Xenopus tropicalis: one gene and its partner. The protein of the gene in region 2 binds, or shares a complex with, the protein of the main gene of each other region. Links are inferred from orthologs where the notes say so. Each region holds a gene or a part of one and is shown on either strand. Other genes may lie near its edges. The genes, in order: ralgapb and ralgapa1.

Region 1 (4,313 bases), on a different chromosome or scaffold from region 2:
AAAACAAACCAGCAGAACCTTATTCATCCCATCTATACATGGGTCCCCACAAGAAAAAGTACTACCTGTAAAGATGCCAGCTTTTCTCAGGCACCCAACAAATAGTCCAAATAAAATAAAAAGTCATAAATTAAACAGGGATGTCCCTCACTGCTTCATGCTGCAAAGGTTACAGCAGATATAAGGTCTAATAATTGGCCCTGGGCGGATGGTCCTTTTGCCCATTAATTAAAACAGCCCTTATAGGGCAAAGTGGACATTTTATGGGAAATATTATGGGAAAATTGACATTTGGGAGCAAATTAATGAAAAATTTCTCTCTCCCTGTTTCAAAAATATCACTTGTTTAAGCAGTTTACTATTAAGGCTGATGCCACACGTGGCGTTTTTACGCTGCGTATTTTCTAATTCTCTCGGCGGCTGAAAAACGCCTGATATCATCATCCATAGAAATAACTTGAAAAGACGCAAAGCAAACCACACAATGCGGAAATACGCTAGAAAACGCCTTACCGCGGATTTTTCAAGCGTTTTCCGAAATACGCCAGTATTTGCACAGCAAGCTATTCCTATGTATACACAAAGGCAGCTGCCAGACCTAGCGGAAATACGCGGCGTTTTTTACTATTTCGCACTATTAGCACCATGGAAACGGGATTTGCTACGTCACCAGTACTAGGCTGAAAAACGCCATAGTCAGGGGCTGTGTGGCTTGTGCGGCGTTTTTAGGCTGAGAAAATACGCAGTGTAAAAACGCCACGTGTGGCATCAGCCTAATGGCAGCAGTTTTTTCTCAGTTGCTCCAAGTGTTGCATTCCATTTGGCAGGACATTGAAGGAAAACCAATTTTGTCACTGGGTTATACTGGTTTATCCCAACCTTCAGGCAGGCGAACACTCTAAAAACCCTGAGAAAATGATAAAAAATGCTTTTAGTAAATCACAGGAATGCTCAAACTTGAGGAGAAAAATAGTCAATGGCCAAAGAACGCAAGATATTAACAAATAGATACAAATGGCAAGATTAGACGTGAGCAAATATGCACCACAATGTGCGTTGGAGGGGCAAAAATGATACTTATTATACTAATATTTGTCTTCATGAAAATGTAAAAATACAAATTAACAAAGATGATTAAACATATGAAATTCCTGCACTTTAGCACGTATAATATTCCATACTATTTTATCTTAACCGTGCAGACATTTTTTTTTGTGTATAGTGGAACTTTATACTATTATTATTAAAGAGGAGTTTAATTGTATTTCCCTCAGAAATATTACCCAGTCAGTCAGACACCCGCAGCCAAACTACGCATGCGCAGCTTCCTCACTCCTGTCAACAAGCTGCGTTCCAAGCCTCCGTCTGGCCGCGCGTATTTTGTTAGTTTTTTTTCTGTAGACGTCACGGCTTAGGAGTAAAGATGATTGGTTGTCCGTCTGCGGATGTCAGGCTCTGACCAATAGGGTAGCGGATGCAATGTTGTCACTAGACTGGATGTATAGGCCGGCCATCTTGCTTATGCTGTGCATGATCCGCCCTGCTTGTTGCGGAAGCGGTATTTTCAGCGGGGCCTAAGGAAGAATTGGCGCTGATGTGAAGGGGGAACTTGGGAAGCGAGTGCTGCATGGGCAGCCCCAACAACTGGTGAGGTGACAGCTGCTGCCTAGGAGGGAATGAGGGTGGGGGCTGTGCCAAAGCCTTGGGTCTAGTTAGTGGGGCACTAGTGACACTGCAATGCTATGAGCATTCTTAGTAATCTAGGGGTGCGCTGTGTGGGACCCCTCCATTCTCTAACATTATCCTCCGACTGTTGAATGCTGAGAGATGAAGTTTAACCAACTTTAAGGGCATCTGCACCCTGACACTGGTTTGTGTGTAGTCAACGGAAATGTCAAAACATTTTAGTGGTTTTAAAGTTGTGTGTAAATGTCATGGCAGGCGGTGTTTGTTTATCCCTTTCCCGGGTCCCACCCTTGAAACAGTGTTCCAGAAGGTAGTTTACTTGCTACATTGTTTCAGAAGTCAGAACCAGCAGGGCAGAGAACATAAATAGTTCTGGTTTCCACAGGAATTTTATTTACAGAAAACTTTACTAGCCTTTGGGTTTTGTATTTATCCGGCTACTCGGGCCTTGAAAATCACTTGAAAATTCAGGGACACATCTAATGAATACCTGTTGCAGGGCAGCACTGATTGCATTTGAAATAAACTGCAATCAGGTGAGCCCTGCTAGCTGGATTTTTTAAACGTGTCCCTCAATTTTCAAGTGATCAGGTCACCCTAGCCCAGCGCTTCCCCCCACAGCCACTGGGGCTGGCATGTTAGTTGATCAGTGTGTCTCCAGTGTGAGCTGTGGCTGTTAGGCACTACAGCGTGTAGATATAGTTGCCACCGTAATGGGCACATTTGAATTAAAATGCCATTTATGCGGACTGGAAACACGACGGTAGTTGGGGATAATGAGTAACGAAGGCTAATCACTTCCTAAGATGAATTGGCCATCCCTGATATAGTCCCATTTGCTCTAGAAACAAGTGTCTGATTGCACAACGTAACTTCATTGGTGGAAGAAGGCCCCTGACTTTGGGCCCAAGCATTTTACTCAGGGAGATAAAAAATGTTGCATGTTACTAAAATGTATTCCTTAAGGGTGAAGACACACAGAGCTACTAGTAGCAGCTACTTTTTCACGGCTACTAAAAGCCAAAAAATCCGCTGCCATGGACAATACTGAGCATTGCCTCCGCTAAAACACATGTTGAGACAGTTATCAGTAAATGATCAGCATTGTCTATTTTAGTAGCCACTATAAGTAGCTGCTACTAGTAGCTCCGTGTGTTTTCACCATAAAGCAGCGGATTTGCCAATCATTTCCTGTAAGAACATAATATTATCATACTCGGTGCATGTAATACAGATGCTCACAGTTGATATTGAGTACACACCATTAGGTTGAAGACACACGGAGCTACTAGTAGCAGCTATTTGTTGCGGCTACAGAAATAGACAATGCTGATCATTTACTGTTAACTGTCTCTACGTGTGTTTTAGAAGAGGCTATTCTCAGTATTGTCTATGGCAGGGGATTTTCTGGCTTTTAGTAGCCGTGACAAGTAGCTGCTACTAAGTAGCTCTGTGTGTAATCATCCTTAAATTTAGTTCAATTGCAGTTGACCAGGGCTAGTTGGATAGGTTACAACTCTGGGGTGATATTTCTCTAGTTTTGTCAGTTGCCTCCCCCTGCTGCTTCTGTAGCAGGACTATACTGGGGAGGGGACATCCTAGGTACCCCCATAGAACCTGTTTTCAGGGGCCAATTCTCATCTCTTAGCAACAAACCATGCTAAATGATTACATTGCTGGTTGCCAGTTTATCCCTTTTCCTATTAGCCCTGAGCAGGGTGTCTGCTCCATTTAGATGGATTACAGGGGAAGTGTGAGTGAAGTAAGGGCCACGCTGCATCCTGTTGGCCAATGACCCCTCATACAAGGTCAGATAAGATGTATCTTATCACCTTTTCCCAATACTTTAGTCCAAGTAAAGGAGCATTTCAATAGGTTGCTAGGATCAGTGACCTTAGCAACCAGGCACACTAAATAGGTTAGTGTTTATTTTAACTGTTTATAGTTCATGCCATGTAGTATGAAAGCATTTAGAGTCCAATTAACTAACCAATCAAATATATATTTTTTAAAAAAGTGGGAGGTGCTCATATTTAGTACAGCTGAGGGATAATGGTGCTAATGATGCTGAAATTTCAGGTTTACCTCAATTAAGGGCAAGAAATTGCTCCCATATCAATAGAAAGCAGTGTATTTGGCATCTGATAAACTCTGTCCCCGGGTGCCACGCTGCCTTAGGCGCTGGCATTAATAGGAAGGTCTCTATGGGGATGGCACAGATTTGCAGAGCAATGGGATCCATGCATGGCTGTATTATTTTTGTACGGGATTAGGAACAGATTTTCAATCGACGCTTAGACGTAGCAAATTACTTATCTGTGTTACCAGGTATTGCAGGCTGGCATTGCTTGGGTCAAAGGTGCCATTAAAGGTTGGACTTCTGTGACCCGGATGGGCATGTGTGCATCAAGCTATCACTTTGTTGTTGTGGCTTTGTCTTGCCCCCCTGTATGAAAATTACGACTTAACCTGTATCAAAGCACTCCGCCTACAGCTTTGTGCCTTTATATGGGCACAGAACCCCTCAGTGACTGCTAATATCCTTATCATTTACAGTAGGGGGTACATTATCCCTTATAATACATGAGTGATACTCAGAGTTCCCTGTATAACTCAGCCTGCAGCCT
Region 2 (2,671 bases):
CCACTGACATATGAGGAATAAGGAGGAATAATGAGGTATGTTAATATGAAAGCACTGATAGGACAGGTATTATGGGTACTGTGGGTTATCGTTGTTAAAAACAAAGCTTAAAATGATATGTAGTGTTTTTACTTGTAGCTCACAATTTGGCTTGCAGGCAGGATAGAGCAATATAATGGAAAGCAAAGTATTTGTGAAAAATGTAGTTTCTAGAGCTATAAAGATGCACTAACTGTAACTGTGCAAGAAAAGCAGCCATATTACAGCCACACATGGAGGCTACACACTGGAACTGCCTCTGATAATGGCGCTCTAGTGGTTTGCTCTCCTCTCAGGAAGGACAAGTAAAGCAGCAGGAACTTTTAATGAGCAGATTTGAATAGAATAAGATGCACGTTCTGTATAGTTTCTATAGAAGACATGGTGCTCGGTATCAGTGCTCTAACAGCAAGCGTGACAAGATACAGTTTACACTCTTAAAAGAAAACAAAGACACATAATAAGGAAAACAGGAATCAATAGAGACAATGCAGGGAGTTACATGATTGGAACATAGAAGAACAATCCATGTGAAATGATATCAGACCAGTATCCCGTAGGTCGTTTGGGCCCCACTAGAGAAGAAGCCGTTGGAAACGGGTTTGAGTCCATGACTTTAGAAGCACTCAGGCCTGAAGGCCAATTTACAGAGGGTCATTCATGGTCTTGAAGGGCAACATTAATTACTGGATTCATGCCTTCTATAATACAGCAATGCTTTGTTGCCAAGGCACAGACCATTGAGCACATACAAGGCCATGTGTAACACAATTCATTTACATGCAATGATAATGTCATATAATAACTCAATTGGCATATTAAAAAAACAACAATAAAACCTCAAATAATATTTTGGTGAAGTGGAATGATCCTTATTTAAAGGGATACAAGCAAAGACACCTCTCGGGACCCCGGCTTATCTGCTAATGAGAAGCACTAACACATTCTGCTAAAAAAAAAAAAATCCATCTTCTTCTCAATGCAACCCCTGCGCTAAAGAACACCTTGGTTTTTTTTTAAATAAAATCAGGCCTGTGAAAGAAATATATATATTATATATATAAAACAAATAATACATGTATAAAAATAGTGAGTTGCTGTGCTACATTTATCTTTAATCTGGAATCTCTTTAGGTTTCATTGTACCAAAAAGCCATAGACATATTTATACAAGAGATCTTTCAAAATCAGATCATGATCAGTGAAACAACAGTTTAGATCTATGTTTCATTTCTGTGTTGACCCAGAGAAAACGGGTTAAAAAAAAAAGAGGAAAATAAGCCTCTGGTAATAATAATATAGTGAATAAATATACAACATGGAGAACACAAAAATGGCATAGCTACAAGAGCTCACTGAATGTTCGCTTTTCAGGCATCATTTCAGCCTTTTAAAGACCCAGTAATAGAGGATTAAAAGCTGCAAAGATATACATATGGCACCCTGCATTGTAAAGAATTAAAAACACAGGTATCAGGCTAAAATATTAAATAAGGTCTAAAAGTCCAGTGTTGTTCACTCAAATAAAATGTGGAAAAACTAGCATAAAAACACAGGAAGTATAAAGTCTGGAGTGAATTTCGAGTGCCTGAACTTGTCCTAAAATGGCACCGCCAGTGATTGGAGACACTCAGACTATGAAGTGAAGACTCAGGTTTTGTTGGCAGAGCCAGAGGAACGCCGGAGCTTTATGGACATGCGACTTTTGCTGCTCCGTGGTGACAAAGAAAAAGCCAGTTCTGATCCATCCCCCGGAGGCGATACGTTCTCATCTTGCTCTTTCGTTGGGCAAGGCCCTGGCCAATGACACGGGAGAACAAAGGTAGGTCTCACATGTTCCTCACATGTTGCAGATACACTATAAACACTGAACAAAATTCTAACGTGATTTTAAATCATTAGGGAGAGTGCCATACGTGGGCAGATTGTAGCTGCCAATTTGGCTCCTTCAGTCAGAGTTGACAGCTTATGTGCCCATGTATAGGGCCCTCTGCTGGGCCTACATAACTGATATCTGGCTGTAGGGTCAAACAATTGGATCTGACATCAAGGTGGGCATATTGGGGAAACACCTTACTAAACAAGCAGATATGTGGCCAGCTTTATACTATCATATTAGGAAAGTCACACGTCTTAATGGTGTTCCACATAGAAATATGAATAAAATAGCTCTGGCCATGCTCAGTAATAGAATATGGCATCCTCAATATCCCCACTGTGTGCCACAGGCCTTAAACCAATTTTCTTCCCTTCATGCAAAAAGTTGATGCCATAATATTCCATGAGGTACAATTTACTTAATGTTTAGCAATGGTGCAATTTGCCATGCTCTTTGCTCATAATGCAGGCATTGGTCACGCAGACTGGAATCAGGCAGCAATGAGATCAGCAGGAAGAAGGCAAATAACTGTTTGCTATAGACATGGGGCTGAATGGGCCATGCTGGGCAACACCAACGTGCATACACAATGATTTGTCATGTGGTGGTTCGTACAAAGCAAATTAGTATTAGCCATACACCAGTTACAAGCAGTACACAAGGTGCGGTGCTGAGAGATCTTTTAGTGTGTGTATTGCCCAATATTCATGCAGTGATTTACAGACAGAAAAGGAAAGGATAAAAGGCAGGTGC

Evidence for each region.
Region 1: ralgapa1 (region 2) and ralgapb share a complex: the UniProt entries of both Homo sapiens proteins name them as parts of the heterodimeric RalGAP1 complex. The link is inferred for Xenopus tropicalis from reciprocal best matches to the Homo sapiens genes RALGAPA1 and RALGAPB.

The regions. Positions count from the first base shown.
Region 1 is NC_030686.2:42,224,621-42,228,933, forward strand, and holds the start of ralgapb (ral GTPase-activating protein subunit beta), read left to right. Parts: upstream 1-1,480; 5' UTR 1,481-1,647; intron 1,648-4,313. UniProt on the Homo sapiens protein: Non-catalytic subunit of the heterodimeric RalGAP1 and RalGAP2 complexes which act as GTPase activators for the Ras-like small GTPases RALA and RALB.
Region 2 is NC_030684.2:108,151,859-108,154,529, forward strand, and holds part of ralgapa1 (ral GTPase-activating protein subunit alpha-1), read right to left. Parts: intron 1,836-2,671; coding exon 1,690-1,835; 3' UTR 1-1,689. UniProt on the Homo sapiens protein: Catalytic subunit of the heterodimeric RalGAP1 complex which acts as a GTPase activator for the Ras-like small GTPases RALA and RALB.